4 separate regions of the Mus musculus genome follow, and all the other regions are reported to be linked to region 4. The links are microRNA targets in miRTarBase. Many come from high-throughput screens and were not tested one by one. Region 4 holds a microRNA gene; each other region holds the end of a gene's coding sequence.

Region 1 (4,000 bases), not on the chromosome of region 4:
TAAGCAAATAGATGGTATTTCTTTCGGGCTTCTATTTCAAGCCCAAGTGTTGTTGATCCTGTGATAATGACTTAGCAAAACAACTTGCAAAGTGAGTATGGAAATGATCGAAGAAACTGCTGGCATCTGTTTCATACAGATTTTTACCACTCACAGCATCAGGAATGCAAAAAAGAAAAGAGAGAGAAAGAGCAAGCCCACCAGAATTGTGAATTGTACTGCTAAAACTCTAATATGTAAAATAACTGTTCTAATTGTCAACAGATTCTAAATAAACTAGAAAGAGAACGAGGGCTGGAAGAAGCTCAGAAACAACTCTTGCATGTAAAAGTCTTATTTGATGAAAAGAAGAAATGCAAGTGGATGTAAGCACCCTGGGGCCTGGCTTTATTTGACAAAGTTCTTCAGACAGCTTGGGAGCAAACTGGCTGCTTGAGCTACTCTTTGTCGTTAATTTCTTAAGTTTGCACATGGGTTCCACTTCGAGCACTGTCCTTTAGGAGACCAAGGCACATGCACAGCTTTTAGAAAGCGTTATCAACCACTGTGCCTGTGGGTATATCGTGGGAACCTTTCTGTAAATAGAGCTGAAGTGGTTGTTGCAAACAGCCTCCTTGTTTACAGAGAATACAGGGCCAGTAAGCAAGTGTCAGTATTGTAACTACAGTCTCCACTTAAGCACAATGATATCTAAGTGGTTTTGTTGGAAAACTACAGCTATGTAGTACTTGTGACTACACTGTACTTCTGCAGAAGAAAGGGGATACTAACAAAGCTCAGAGTGTGGAAGGAGTCCTTTGGAAACCCGGAGGGGGTGTTAGGGCAACCCTGAGGGTCTGCGGCATTCCTCCTCTTTCCCCAGTAGTTCTTGGAAAGGCTGAAGGCAGAATTTGGTAGTGTGTACACTTAGCATTCGTGAGTGTGTGTGTTTAAACCAAAAACTAACAGTGTTGCAACATTGTTGAAAGGGCTCGTGTTTTTCAGTGGTTGCCAGCCGGGCTCCTCAGCCCACCTCCATCTCATCAACGCAGCTCTAAAGCAAGGAGAGTGGGTGGGTCTCACTGAAATGCAACAGCAGTTTTCCCAGACTCTGTCCTACGGTGTGTCTCTTTTTTATCTTTTCATGTATCTGGTAGTGGACATGTTGGGTATTGTAAGAAAAAGAGTTCATGACTTTACTTCTGTTTGATCAGAACTGTCTGTGGATGTGTAAGTCACTCCTGTAATCTTACATTTCTATGCTAGTGTCTCCTTGCTTTAGATTTCTGGTGAACCCTGTGGTTATAAATACTTGTGTGTGATTAAAATAAAAGATACATTTTACATTTCATCAAATTGTTGTTCACATTGGAGTATTATATATAAATATATATATTTGAGGCCCAAGGCCTGGAAAATATTAGTACAACTTGGTATCTTAGTCTTACTATGTACTTTTTGAAAGTATTCCTTACAGGAGAAAGATTTAAAAATACTCATTTTATTCGTGCCTCTTTTTTTTTTTTTCAAAGAATTTCCTATCAAGTTATACTGTAGTCTTTTTTATTGCTGATTTTTTTATTCCCAAATTTTTGCTGCTCGTGACCAATTTTAATACCACTGTGCTTTCCTTCTATTAAACAGAAGTAAAAAGTGTCACCTGACGGCCCTCTCACTTACCTTGTGGCAGGCACCCCTACCCTTGGGGTTCCAAACCCCCAGTTTAGGAAGGACTTTTCTTTCAATCAGCCAATCAAACCTTGAGCACACATTCCTCAAAACCATTTACCAGCACTGCCTGGCCCATCTAGACTGCAATGTCCTGGTAAATGGCAGTCCTTTCTCTTCCTTACTATCTGACACCTCAACAGTGCAGTGGCTGCCCTGACAGACGCCCTCCCAATCTTGTTTCTTGTGACTACTGTCTGTCCAATGGACACATCTCAAAACTACTACCAAATAGTCTATTTCTAAGTAGAAAGGTGAGAGGTCTGGTCCCCATTTAAAGCTGCTACCGTCTTTAAAGAGGTGAAGGCATTCCTAAGAGAAAAGTTGGAGGAGACTTGAGAGCCAAGGGTAGGAGAATTGCCCAACAAACCTTCCCTTCTCTGGGGAACAGAAACGCAAAGGCTGAGCCACAGCTTTAGCTGTGTTACAAATGCTACACCAGGGGGTCCCTGTCCAGCTCTCTGACATGAGTCCTGTGTGAGCCTTACCGCCTCTTTCAGGAGTTAGGAACTTTGGGCAAGTCACTTACCTCTTTGTGCCTCAATTTCTGTATACTATTTCTAACCTACCTCACTGAGGTGGTGTGAAGATTCACTAATGTATGTAGTGTGTTTGTCAATCCTCCAGTGGAAAGCACTATCTAGATCACACTTTGGATCCCATTAGCCAAATGCACAGAATGTCCAAATTAGATGTGTGCTGAAGACAATCAGTCACTGGGCCTCTATTCAACAACTAAAGAAGCAAATGACAAACAGTATCTAGTTTCAAGTTTCTTTGCATATTTTTGGTGCAAAACAATTAATTTATAAACTTTTTTTTCTAACACTAGTGTCTAAAGCAGCACTTAAAAATTACTTCTGTTATCTTTTCTGTATTAGGATTTAAAGTCTATTTCTTACTGTATACCTGACTGAAGTTGTTCTTGGAGATGAATGTTTTAAATGTCTATATCCAAAAATAAACATTTTGATGTAACAAATGTGGACTGTTTGTCTTTTCTAGTTTTAATAGGTTTCTTAACCTAAATTACTTTCCAGGAACAAGATGTCACGGTACATTGCATATAAATAAGCAGCTCCGCTCAGTAAACCAAGCTCCTTGCTAAATGGCGCCAAGAGCTGCTCACTTATATTCCTGTCTTCAGTGAGCAACCTGACTTTTGGCTGCTGAGACGTCTATACAATGACAAATCCACATAAATTTAAGCTTCCGTTTGCTGACATGAAATTATTCCAGTGGAATCCCTCTAAAACATTACATAAAGAAGCTTCCAAAGATGCACAATGAAAACAGAAGGACATAAAACATCATTATTTGATCCTTACCTAACAGTGAGAAACCAAACTAAATGTCAGCGGTACTTCAATACCTCACTGCTTCAAGTAAGACCAACAACTCTTTACAGCCACAGGACTTCATTTTCTAAAACTCACCAAAGCCACAGAAGTGATGCCATCTCAACTGTTTAGTACATATTCTATGATCAGGAAAATTAAACACAAACAGCAGAGATACAAAAATATTTATTAAGTTATTCAATAAATTAAGTGCACAGCTTTTAGAAAAGGTAAAGATTTCTATAATAAACATGTTTAGAAACTTTTAAGTGGTTTTTATACTTATAAATGATTATCTTTTCCAAAACTTTTATATATAATAAAGGAGATGTTTATTGGTTTTGTCATTACCAAGGAGGCATCTCAAAGATGAGGAAAAGGGACTTCAGGGTGGATATATTTCAAGCAAAATGCCAGAAAATATCAACAAAACAGAAATTAATTTGAAAACTTGATTTTTTTAACTAACTAGTTCCTTTTATTTTTGCATTGTCAAAAGATTGTCAATGCATGTTCTAAATATATGAATACTTTCATTTTCTTAGTATAATCCTAAAATCTTGGAGCCCATGCAGTGCGCTGCTAGTACCTTTTCTTGAGGCAGCTCATGGATTTTGGCAAACAGGAAGAAGGCGTCTCAGTGCCACACGTTACCCGTCAGACTTTTATTGAGTCTCTGGCTTTGCCTGTCTTCAGGCTTCACTCCCCAGGAGACCCAAGCTCCTCCAGTTGTTTTCTTTGTGTAGTCTCCAGTTCTTCCAGTCTTTTGCGAAGGAGAGAGAGCTCTCTTTGATGTTGTTCCTCCTTAAAAATGACACATTAAGAGAAACCTAGAAAAACTAGGAACGTCCCTGCCTCTCTTCCATAAGCCTCCAAAGTGTGGCACAGAAATGACCCAGGTTAGCTATGTAAAAACTAGTTGCTCTTCTCTCCTGCCTCAGACTGCACTCTTA
Region 2 (4,000 bases), not on the chromosome of region 4:
TCTATATACACAAGGAGGCAGAATTAAGCAACTATCCATGGATTTTTCTTCTTAGATCTTCTGCAGTGAACACTTTTAAGAGATGCTAAGCGGATGGCCTAGTTGGTCATCAAAGGGAGGAGAGGCCCTTGGTCTTGTGAAGATTCTATGCCCCAGTATAGAGGAATGCCAGGGCCAGGAAGCAGGAGTGGGTGGGTTGGGGAGCAGGGGTAGGGAGTAGGGGATAGGGGATTTTCGGAGAGGAAACTAGGAAAGGGGATAGCATTTGAAATGTAAATGAAGAAAACATTTAATTAAAAAAAAAAAACTGAAGGGGGGGGCGGTTTCAGCGGCACGCACGGTTCAGCCCACGAAACTGAGCAGTACAAAAAGACCGGAAATAGTCGCCTATCTGCCCCGCCCCATTCTCAAGTCTTCCCTATATGAGGTGCTTGCTTTATTCAATTTCCTGTTCTTTTCCTCCTCAGGTGACTGGATGGCCGGAATCCCCTCACACATCCTCAGCAGCTCGCCATCAGACCAGCAGATTAACCAGCTGGCTCAGAGGCTAGGCCCGGAGTGGGAGCCCGTGGTCCTGTCTCTGGGACTGTCCCAGACCGACATCTACCGCTGCAAGGCCAACCATCCCCACAACGTGCATTCGCAGGTGGTGGAGGCCTTTGTCCGCTGGCGCCAGCGTTTTGGGAAGCAGGCCACCTTCCTAAGCTTACACAAGGGCCTCCAGGCAGTGGAGGCTGATCCCTCCCTGCTCCAGCACATGCTGGAGTGACCTGACCCCCCCCCGCGCCCCCCCCCCACTTGCTGTGGGGGTGGTGGGGCGTGGGTTCCCAAGTCACACTGGCTGAACCGGACTTTTCTCAGCAGGTGGCTTTGTTCTGGGCTTTTCAGTGATCTGTTTACGGAAAGAGATCGTCCACCACTCACTCAACCATCGATTGGCTTTAATTGCTTGAAGACTGCGCTGTTGTAACTATGGTTTGGAACTTTGTGGCTGGCCTTTAACAGGAGGCCAGAAAAAACACAACACCCACCCTACCCAACCCCCCAAAAAATCATGCTACAGCATCGAATGCAGGTGTCCTGCATACAAGGCAGCTACACTTGTGTTGCCTGGAGACTGGATTGTGCATTTAGCTCTTCATAATGGTGATGATAATAAAAAAGCAAATTGTGATATAGAATGTGCCTCTTTCAATGAGAGAGTATTATATCACACACACACACACACACACACACACACATACACACACACACACCACTCTTCTGTTGCATAGACGGAGGGTGTAAAAATATGGGAGTGGAGCAAGATTGATAGCAGTCATGTGACGACGGAGATAAATAACTCAGGCAGGATGTATAGATTAAGCATGAGACACCGAAGCTCCCTGCAGAGGCCAGGGAGAGAACGGAAGACCTTCATCTTAACAAATTGTATGAGGAGTCTCTGTCCATTTGTTAAAGGCATTGGATCAGAGACAAGAGGGCTCAGTGTTTCTCTTGAGGCCTGAATGGCTGAAGGCGGTGAGTTCCCGAGGGGCGTCATGGGTTGTCCAGCCTTTCATTAACTGCACATAGTGTTAGCCAGACAGGTGTACGTGTTTGTCATCCCATCTAAGAGACTGAAGCAGGAGGATCACCTGTACATGACTGCTTCTTTCAACATTTTAAAATGTGTAACTTCTATTAAATTCTCTCAGTGCAAATAAAGTGCGTGTCCATTGTGTCCTTTCAAAAACCTAACAATAGATAAGATGAGGAGAAGCAAGAGTCTCCTTGTACTCCCCGCAGTCAGTCAGCTTTGCTCTGCTCTGCCGTCAGTTTCTTAGTTAAGCCCGCCCGCACATCCCTTCTGCAGCTGGAGCAGGATTGCCCTGTAAGGCTCTTTAACACTTGGCTTCCTTGCCTTAACACATAGCACTTGTTCCAATGCCAAAGGCCTTTACAACATCCTTTGCTCTTAGAGCACACTTGCAAGAGCTATCGTTTTGGCAGCACCTTTAAAGAGATTGAAGGCACTCAGCTTCTAAGTCTACCAACTGCTTTCCCCATCAAGAAGTTCGCTGGCATTGCAGTTCTTGCTTGACACACCCATAACCCCACCCCACCCAGAACCAATCCGAGCAAACTATTGTTCACTGCCTGCACTGTGCACCTTGCATCCTCACAAAGCTTAGCATGTCTGCATTCTGAGTTTTGTCCCTTGCCCCAAGATGTCCTCTCCACTGTACTACATCTAATTACCGCTGTGTTTCTTTTCTTCAAGAGAATGTTAGGGGAGGGACAGTCAACACAGAAGTTGCACACAGCCCCTCTGCTTCCTGAGGGTGTATGCGCAATTGACAGTTGCCGGAGGGAGAGACTGGCAGTATAGTTGTCACCTGTAAGTGTCCCTGTGACTTCTCACCATTGTCCTCACAAGTAGTCCTAGTAAAACTCATTCTTGTACCAGTCCAGATTTGGGTGGAGTGGTTTCTTTGGTCTGTCATCTTCAGAAGCCCTCTCTGAGGCACACAGACATTTGCTCAGATCTTTCCGGAAAAGCTAATGCGGCTGAGAGGCTAATCTCATCTCTGTTAATTGAGGACATTAAAGCCGACCAACAAAGACACAAGCCCTACTCTCTGGAGCTCACTGCCACATGAGACAGCCACAGACCTCTAATCACAACATGATGTGACAATTCCACTCCTGAGTACTGAGCCAGTGGGAACAGAGCAAAAGGACCCCCTCTGGTTTGCTTTTGAGGGGATGGGGGGCCTGAAGAAAAAGAAGGCTCCGTCACTCAGGTAAATCACTCCACCTTCTTGGGCAGGTTTATTCACGTATGCACACTAACTGGTCTATGAGTGCAGAGGATCTGCCAGAGGTAAAAAAGATAAATTGTTCATACAGTGGGTTTGGACAAGGAAATGTCTGAGCTGAATTATTTTGGCTACTGAGTTTTGTTTTGTTTTGTTTTGTTTTGTTTTCCCTAATATTCTTTATCAAGCCAGGGTCCCTCAAAATGTTAGGCTGAGGTCCCTCATCCTTCTGGGGCTTGTACAGCAGCTGAGAGTGTGCAGCTCTTCTGGGCATCCCTAGGGACTCAGGGTAAGGAAAAATGAACTGGCAGCACACGGCAGAGCATGTCCAGAACCTGGGTGGGACTCTGATCTAACACTTAGCTCTCATTAAATGAATCCCTACAGTTGGGGCACAAATTCTTGCTGGTTACAAAACACCCAAGTTACTGGAGATCCGAAGATAAATAAGACACAGTCTCTGCCCAGCAGGATCTCGGCCCTCCAGGAAGGCAGCCATAACAGCCAGGCAACTCTGACACTTCACAGAAAAGGGAGCAATTAAGTTGGCCACAGAGGAGATGACACTTCGGCTGAGCTCTTGTAAGCCCTGCCCAAGTTAGCGTGATAGCCCCCCCCTTAGGGGATATTAGGAGACACCAGAATTCCATTTAATGTCTTCTTCATCCAGCTTGACAAATGGCACTCCTTCCAAATGTCTACAAGATGCATATGCCTCCAAAATGCTATCTCGGAGCCATTAGAAACTAAACACATTGACAAATACCATCCTGTTCCATACTTCTTTATAGCAGTGGAGTGTTCAGCCACAGTAAAATCAGGATCAGGCTTCAAGGATTTAGGTATCAGGCATATTTGAGGGTGCTTTTTATAGCACCCCTCTCTCCCCCACCCCAACACTTGTACAAATTCAAAATAGATGTTGCAGCATACAGGGAATGTTTTTAATATAATGTCTTGTTTACTTCCCTGAACTATAAACATCTGAGAGGAACAGGGACGTCTGTCTTGTTGGCACTTACTGTTCTTATAGGAAAATTAAAGTCTCTCAAAGACACAGTTCAGTGAGCCAATTAAACCTTGTCTCTGCTTTGTTAAGCTCACGAGAAACATATGGTAGTGATTCTGATAGCTATTGTTCATTCAAAGCATCAGCTATGAAATCCAGGTTTGAATGCTCAGAAAGAAAAAGCAGATTC
Region 3 (4,000 bases), not on the chromosome of region 4:
TGACCACACGACCCTTTCCTAAGAGGAAAGTCCAGGAATGTGTGACAAGGGTGTTTGCTTTCTAGGAAGCAGGGTGCTAGCTTCCGGTGCTGTTGCATAACTTGAAACTACAGGCATGTTGCTGCCAGCCCAGGTTTCTGACACCCTAGATGCCATAGGGCACAGCAGCATGAGTTGGAGAGGATGGCTGAGTGGGCGGGAGAGTCACAGGGGAGTCCTAGGTGACTTCCTGATACTGCTAGAATAGTCCAAGGTGGAAGAATAGTCCTTAGCTAACTGAACTTTCAGCCTAGAGAGGGTGAGACACATCTTAGGCAGGAACCACCCGATTGTAGACACGGTGCTGCTTTGCTCTCTGCCTGGGGAGACTGTCCCCTCCCCCCTCTGGCAAGTGACTATGTGGCAATAGGTTTGTGTGTAATACTCTCAAGAAAGGTCATGACCCCTGCTCTTAGGGGCCACGTATTAATTTGGCAGATCTCAGCTACTTGTCTCCCTGAGGTGGAATGCTCTGAAGAGAGTGCACACTTAGGAAGGTGTGGGAGAATGGTAAGAAGACATCTCTCCTCTTGTTTCCCTCTCTCCACTCTGGGACTGCTTTGCCTGGGGCAGGAAGTGGGAACCCAGTACAGAAGAGGATAGTAGCTAGTCACGTGGGACACAGGAAAGGGGTCCCTTGTTGCCCCCTTGCTTCAGCTCCCGTCAGCAGCAGGGTGTGGCTCTTCCTCTCCTGTAGTGGCAGCTGTGGGCTTTTGATTTCTTTTAAAATAAACACAGAAATATCGTCTGAATGTGCTTTTGTTTTAATCCCAGGTGTGCGATGTGGGGCGGCTTCAGGCTGCCCACAGCAGCTGATTGTGATCTGCCTCGTGCTCTGACAGATGTGTGGTTTTGCCAGCTGCAGAGAGTTTCTGCAACTGTGTGAATTCTGGGTCTATAAATGCTAGGGCCTGAAAGAGGCAGAGTTGATGGTTGGTTGAAGTTTGTTAGTAGTTGTGCTCAAAGAAGAAACAAAAGGAAAGAAATCAGATTCAGGTATCTCTTTTCCCTCTATCCTTGTTTCTCTTCTGTCTAGTGTTAGGGGGTGAAACTAGGGCAGGGTGGGGGAAATAAAGGGTGGGAAAAGAATCTCCAACAAAGGACCAAAGACAGCTATACTCTCCCCCTTCCCCAGGCCTCTTGAGGGATGAGGCCAGATACCCAGTGTACAAGGGCTAATGAGTCCACACTTAACTGGTGAGTTCGCAGATCTATTACTGCCTGTGCTGTCTAGGAAGCAGAGCACAGCCAGGAGAGCAGGCTGCCCTGTGCCTCTTGATTAGATGTGCAGTGTGACCACAGTGGACTAACGGCTTCCCCATCTTCCATTCCTTCTTCGCTTTCCCCAACCCCCACGGGTTTGCAGACCCTGCAGTTTTGAGGATCCTCAGAGACTGGGCTTACCCCGTGGCCTCCACAGATGCAGCACAGAGAACTCAGGAAACAAGCCACGTGCAGGGCTGTTGCTGAGGTCAGGGCTGCTCCCGAGGTCAGGGCCTGCTGGGACTGGCTTGGAGCTGGGACTGAGTTTCCTGGTCACCCAGGGATCGTGCCCTCTGAGTGCCATGCCTGTGTCACTGTGGTCAGTCCTGGGCCTGTATGAGCACCACTTTAGCTCAGGACAGTGAGTGACTGCCCAACAAGTGGTAGGCTTAGCTGGCAGCCAGGGACGAGCACAAGCTAGCCCTGCTCTGAGGCCTCTCAGATGTAGTTGACACTCAATGACAATAACTAGTAGAAGAGGGTGGTCTTGCTGTGGCACTGCTGGTCTGGAACCTGACATTGCCCGCAAGGGCCCCCAACCCCACATAAGTGTTAAGTGGAACAACAGAGACCTGCCTGTTCATGGGCGCCACCTATGAACAAAGTGGGACAGTAAGGAGTCCCTCTGGGCAGACATGCCTGTACATCTGCTCTCGTGAACCTGGCTGCTGAGGGTCTCTTGAGCTTTTTATTGTGTTCTGAGGTCTTATGTGCAGTCCTTGCTGACCTCCTGGAGCTGGCCATGTAGCACAGGCTGGCCTTGAACTCGGAGCAATACAGCCTCAGCCTCCTGAGTGCGGTATCCCCTGCTTAACCGCCATGCCCAGCTCTCTTCGATTATTAGAACCCTCAGTGAGCTAGACGACGGCCCTGTGTCCAGGAGGTGGGCCCTGGGGGAGTCACGGCAGCTGGCCCACCTCATAAGATCCAGGATTCAGCCTGAAGAGTGAGAAACTGGAGCCAGAGATGGGGAGAAGCAACTAGTACCAATGTCCCCAGCACGGCAGGCTACCCAGAGCCCAGGGAAAAGGTCACCAAGGGCACGTGGCAGTAGAGTCACCAGGGAGAAAGCACCTGAGACAAGGTGGAGCTGTGGACCCTGGCAGCCCTGACCTACAGACACTGGTGCAGTAAAACCCAGGACCAAGGCTCGCGTGGGTGCTTGGAAACACTTTATTTAAAACTCTTTTGAAAAGACAGCAATTTATGCCATGAACAGAATAAGATGCTGACAAATGTTTTCTTGCCTGACCTGCCACCAAGCAGGTCTCTCTGGCCCTTGAGGGCTCTACCACTGGTAAGGGAAGTCCCTGCCTGAGGAGGGATGCGGTTGGCTCTGGAAGGTGACAGGGCAGGGCAGAAGGACTCCATTCTGTCTGGGCTGTCCTACATCTGCTGGGAGCAGCCACAGCAAGTGGCCCGCCGGTGCTAGGGTTTCTTCTGGGTCATCAAGAGAAAGCACCAGACAGGAGCCACCTCCTCAGAGATCACATGGCTTGGGGACGCCACCTGTCACACAGACAAAGCCCTGGCCACACCCACGCTCCTCCCTCTACACTCATCCCACATGTTTTTGATTTTTTTTTTTAAAAATATAACTTTGTAAATGCTCCATAAAAATACTGCTCTTCCTAGTCAAACCTGGGTATTGCGATAGAAGAGTAACTGCTTTGTCTTTGCTCTAGAAAACATGAAAAGATTATCACACAGGATAAGATAGAAAAACGCAGGGTTCCTAAATATCACAAAAGCCAGTACCAAATGCTCACGGTGGAAGCGAAGCTAGGGACCGACCGGGTGGGCTGGCAGCCTTGGCTGGGCACCTCTTCCCCTGGCCCTGCTGGGCACAGCTTAGGGCACCTCATCCTTCTCCACACACAGACACCAAGTCTGGGAAAGGCAGCCACCTGCTCTGACCCAATGGCCAGCACTTGCCCCTTGAAGCACCGAGGGCCCAGTGCTGCTGGCCAGGACCTGGTGGTCCTGCTTGATGACAAGGGGCCAGCTAGCCAGGATCCCAGCCTGGGGATTCTGAGACCAACTCTCCTTGTGTAACATTCCACTTGGCCTGGTGAGGCGCACTCCTGTGCAGGTGCCAGGGCAGAAGGGCAACAGCCCTATCCCTTAAAGCGGGAGTGTGTCTTCTGCCCCATAAGAGGCGGGTGGCCAGGCTGTGCCTCAGTTCTCAGAGAGGGACAGAGCCAGGGCAGCCTGGAAGGCAGCTTCTTCGTCGATGCTGTAGTCCTGGGGAAAAGCAGAGATGCATGAGGGAGGAGCAGGATGGCTCCCAAACACCCACTGTCACAGTGTGTCCCAAGCCTCCTTCACAGAATGCCTGCCCCAGTTCTTACATGTGTCCCCAAAGGTAGCCTTGGATCGTGTGCATACCAGTGCTCTGCAGGTTTGTGATCATGAGGCGCGGGTTTCAGATGGTAAGAATCTTTCTTCTACAGCTTAGTTTTTGGTGTGTATATGTACAGACATGTGTGTGCCATAGTGTGGGCAGGACAGAGGACTTTCTCATTTGTCACATGGGTACCAGGGATTGAACTCAAGTTGTCAAGCTTGGCAGGCAGTAGGAGCCTTTAACCCACTGTTCTTGGACAAGAACTGGGTTTTCTTAGATGGAAGTTGTCAAGGCCATGAGATCTCCAACCTTGGGGACCAGGAAAAAGCAAGCCAACCCTACGTGGCTAGA
Region 4 (4,148 bases):
GGGAAAGGCCAAGGGTAGCACATTGATTAGCCCGTTAGTTATAACGCCCAGTGTGTTAAGGGTCATATGCTGAGAGCAGTTGAGGGTGATAAGCTTATCTTACTAGGACTCTGGGAGCTGTCTGGGAGACCAGGCCAGAATTAGTCCACACACACACACACACACACACACACACACACACACACACACACACAAATTACAAGGGAAAAGTATAGAGAACAAAGAGGAGGAAGAAAGGGACAGCTTTGGGACTGAGGAACATGATAGCTCCCTGGAGCTATGGCCCTCCAGGGGGTGCGTGGGTGGGGCCATCACCTGTGTGCCTGCAGGGCCCCTCTCCCAGCAACACAGAACCACACAGAAGAAAGACAGGATCTAGTCCTTTAACTGCCCCGGACTAATTCTTTGAGGGCCAACTGAGAAAAGGGCTCTGCAGATCAGAGGTGGGTTGCAAGGACCGTCTCTCCTGGTTTAGCTGCAGTAGGGCTAGGAGTTTCGGGAAGGGAGGCCTTTGGGCCCAGGCAGACACTGCCATCTCAGGGTAAAACCAAAGATCCGGCGCAATGCTTGGCGATCCACAGGTCTGTTGGGGCTTCCTCCCTTCCCAGTTCTCAAGGGGTTGTTGCCCGGCCCTGTCTGAGCCCTGGACAGGGACACAGACCAATGCCTGCCTAGCTGACCCCACACTGACCTCAGGGCTGGTCCTCTGACTCTGGCTGAGAGCAGGGTTGGAGAGGCCTCAGAGAAGAGGGTGTTTTAGCTTGGGAGGAAGGAGCCGCTGGAAGGGGATCCAAAGATGGCCTCTTTCTTTATTCCTTTAGAAACAGGGAAAGTACAAGGTAGAAGAAGAAAGGCGGCCAGAAAGGGCGGGAGGCCTGGCGGGGTGGCCAGGCCTCAAGAGGAGGTGCCCAGGGCTGGTGCTGGGAGGGAAGGGGTTAAGGCGGAGAGGGGGGCAGCCTATGGCAGGAGGACACACCTGTGCGCAGGGCAGAGGCGGGCGGGGCCCAGGTGAGGCGCCTGTGCTGCCCGGCAGGTGAAGGAGGAAGAGCGAGAGTGGAGGCCAAGTCGGCTCTAGGCGGCTGAATCCGGGCCGTTGGTACACCTTTCTTTCTTCTGCACCACTCTAGGGGTCAGGCGGGTCTGGTGCCAGGTAAAGGCCACCGATCAGGGGGGTCCTGGGGCTGCGCTAGCGACGGTAGAACGCAGTAAATGGGTGTGTTGGAGGGCAGGGACAGGCCGTGGAATGGGGGGGGGGGGACTGGCTCGCAGGTGGATAGTAGAGGCTACAGAAAGCTGGTTTTGGCCTCAGTGATGGGCAAGTCAGGGTAGGCCTGGTGGGGAGCAGCCAGGCTCTCCCGGAAGTGTCCCAAATGACGCGGAGGTGGGGGATGGGAGCAGGAGATCTGCCGCTTCTCTTGAGGGGCTTGGGCTTAGCCAGGGCTGATCTTGAAGGTGGACTGGTTGGGTAGGGGCCCTCGTCTTACCCAGCAGTGTTTGGGTGCTGGTTGGGAGTCTCTAATACTGCCGGGTAATGATGGAGGCCCCTGTCCCAGTGTCATCGGCGTCCATTGCGCGTCCATCGCTTTAGGCACTTTTATCTGGCAGCAACCCATTCCTCCCACACATAACCTGGAAGCCCCTTCTTCCGAGTTAAGGGTGGCTCTCGGGTTGGCTGGTTGCCCACTGGAAGAACACAATGGCCCCAGCCCCTCCTCCAATCCAGTGTGATTTGTCATCTGGTAGATCCAGAACCTACTAGAAGCAGACCTTGGCCTTGGGATTGTCTACGCGCACACAAGAGGCCACAGTCAGCCAGCCAGCAGCGGCTTCCCTCTAGCGCTTGATCAGCGGTAGATCAATTTATATTGGCTGGCTCTGGGTCCATCTTCCAGTGCAGTGTTGGATGGTTGAAGTATGAAGCTCCTAACACTGTCTGGTAAAGATGGCCCCCGGGTCAGTTCCTTCAGCAGTGACCTTGGAGCCTTGAAGACCACCTAGGCCTCCAGGCCAACAGCCTCTGACCTTTAACCTTCTGGATGGGTGTGTGTGTGTGTGTATCACTTGGCAAAGGGGAACAATGGGAAAGAGACAAAATGGCTGCCTTCAGAACAGCAGCAAGATTTGGAAACACATTTGGTCCCAAGACGCTGGCTTCCGTTGTCTTTTCACCCTGGGAACCTGAATGTCCATGGGGAACGTGGGATACGATTCCGGTCCATTCGGTGGTCTGTCTTAGGCTTCAGGAGAGACCTACTTCCTCTAAGAACCCAAGGAGCTGAAGCTCTGCTGCACCCTCTCGCCCAGTCAGGCTCACCCTTCCTCTATTGTATTCTTGTCTGCCCAGAAGGAAAAAACCAAGGCAACGGTTCTAGCGAAGTCCGTGAGCAATGGCTTGATTTCCCCAGTACTGGAGACTCGGTCTTCGTAAGAAAGGTAGTCTGTGGAAAATAGGTTCAGTTGGGCTCCCGGGCTGTGGGGGTGGGAAGGCCTCCTCCACAGGGAGAAACTTCAGTGCAAATAGCTCATCGTACCTGGTGACTAAGTAACAGCACACCGGGACTTAGGAACACGGAAACCCTTGGGAGGAACACGCCATCTCCCGGAGCTAACCAGGAGCTGGTTACCAAGGAAGCAGCTCCCCCTGGGGTCATCACGTTTTTAGTTTGGCTCAGCAAAGCCTCAGCTGCTTCAGCTTTTAAAAAGATGTCATTAAGTCTGTGGGTTCATTTGGTAGACCTGCGGGTGGGGTGAAGGTGTAGTTGGGCCTGAGATCGGCTGCTCCCAGCTTAGGTCCTGTTGAGGACCCGGCGGCAGTCCGAATGCTACAGGCCAGACTGCTTGTGCCCTCTGCTGGCCGAGTCCCAGTGTGATCAATGTCTTCGCGCAATCTACGTACACACTCAGACACAAAATTTTTGGCTTTAAGTAATAAAAATTTTATTGAGAATTCCTGGCATGGTGGTTATCTCCCCCACTCTGGGAGAGGCTCAAGGCTGTAGGAAATCACGGAGAAATCACATTGTCCCACCCCGCTTCCCAGCCAACACAGGAAGGAGGAAAGCCTCTGAAAGGGCTGGTCTCAGTCTTCCTTAATCCAAGAGGGCAGATACAGAAAAGTCCATCACATGATGCCTGGGGCAGGGTGGGCTGTGCTTGACCCCCGAGCTGGCTCCTCCAAGCTGGACAAGTGTGCCAACTTCTCTGGTGGTGGGGTTCTTGATGTCCACACTCATTTCTTACCCTTAATGAGGCTGTCACTGGAGAACAAAGGGAACATTCCTATTATCGGGGATGTAAGTGTGAGGTGCACAACACCCCAAACCACAGCTTCTTCCTAAATAAAGGCCTGACAATGGGGAGAAAGGGGGTGTAGGGGCAGGTCCAGGAAGCAGATGGCCCCCAGGACCCCATAGCAAGGAGGCAGCCACTTACCTTCCCCTGCAACCAGCATGCCATGAAGTGAGCAGGAAATATGTGAAAAGAGAAATAAATCGTTAGTCAGCTACAGGCTCAGCTGCTCCAGACCCGCACTCCCCAGTGAGGACGGCTCTTTGCCACTATCTGTGCGGTCCCAGCAACGTGGGTCTCACGTGAAATTGCTACCAGTCGTCACTTCTCATTTAGATATTTATAAAGTGCCTTTCCCATAAGACATCCTGCTTTGCTTTATAAAGTCAGTCCTAGAAGATGCAAGATAGGAACTGCCAACCAGACTGACACCCACTTTTCTGACTGGTGTTCAGAGAAACTGTCCACGGCCCTGGTAACTAGATAGTCCAGGATCCAGGGTAGTGGACGGGTGCTTTGCTCTCTGGACAGTGGGATCTCTTACCGAGTAAAACTTTCATCCTGTAGATTCAGCACAAGGTTGTCAGCTGTGAGATAGATTCGGTTCTGTGATGTGGCGATCTACAGGACATGGAACAGACGTGTTAACAGGCTTCAAGTCTTTGATTCAATGGCCACCCAGTGGAAGACACAGTAACAGAACAGGCTCCTGCTCTAGTACAAAGACCCGATGCAAGAAGGCTTAGTGTCATAGCTCTGTAACAGCCATAAACAAAACCCGGGGAGCACTGTGGGGTCGGTCACTCTGCAGGAGGAAGGGTGCCCAAAGACATTGTTTAAGTAGAAACTCAAGCCAGTTC

What was found. The annotated mature microRNA mmu-miR-200c-3p reads UAAUACUGCCGGGUAAUGAUGGA and lies in region 4 at 1,517-1,539, shown strand. An mRNA with a match to its seed (bases 2 to 7 or 8) in the 3' UTR can be bound and repressed. Matches are read on the target gene's strand: a 7mer-m8 pairs with bases 2 to 8, a 7mer-A1 pairs with bases 2 to 7 and ends in A, and an 8mer does both.
Region 1: miRTarBase lists Plxnc1 as a target of mmu-miR-200c-3p. Seed matches in the 3' UTR shown: 7mer-m8 at 651-657 and 7mer-A1 at 1,352-1,358.
Region 2: the mRNA of Cradd is a reported target of mmu-miR-200c-3p. Seed matches in the 3' UTR shown: 7mer-A1 at 1,202-1,208.
Region 3: the mRNA of Rnf166 is a reported target of mmu-miR-200c-3p. Seed matches in the 3' UTR shown: 7mer-m8 at 2,921-2,927.

What each region holds. Positions count from the first base shown.
Region 1 is chr10:94,789,555-94,793,554 of GRCm38, reverse strand. It overlaps Plxnc1 (plexin C1), which reads left to right. Exons shown (of 31, transcript NM_018797.3): 31 at 265-2,689. The coding sequence ends at 369. It overlaps Cep83 (centrosomal protein 83), which reads right to left. Exons shown (of 16, transcript NM_029852.2): 16 at 3,219-3,851. The coding sequence ends at 3,747. Among named protein-coding and RNA genes, the nearest start is that of Cep83, 100 kb to the right of the region's middle.
Region 2 is chr10:95,172,446-95,176,445 of GRCm38, reverse strand. It overlaps Cradd (CASP2 and RIPK1 domain containing adaptor with death domain), which reads left to right. Exons shown (of 3, transcript NM_001330138.1): 3 at 468-1,707. The coding sequence ends at 769. Among named protein-coding and RNA genes, the nearest start is that of Gm29684, 29 kb to the right of the region's middle.
Region 3 is chr8:122,463,689-122,467,688 of GRCm38, forward strand. Rnf166 (ring finger protein 166) reads right to left here. Exons shown (of 6, transcript NM_001033142.3): 6 at 2,457-3,546. The coding sequence ends at 3,481. Among named protein-coding and RNA genes, the nearest start is that of Snai3, 5.0 kb to the left of the region's middle.
Region 4 is chr6:124,715,715-124,719,862 of GRCm38, reverse strand. It overlaps Mir200c (microRNA 200c), which reads left to right and starts at 1,473; the gene lies at 1,473-1,541. Phb2 (prohibitin 2) reads right to left here. Exons shown (of 10, transcript NM_007531.2): 8 at 3,833-3,909; 9 at 3,433-3,438; 10 at 2,918-3,257. The coding sequence ends at 3,230. It overlaps Mir141 (microRNA 141), which reads left to right and starts at 1,878; the gene lies at 1,878-1,949.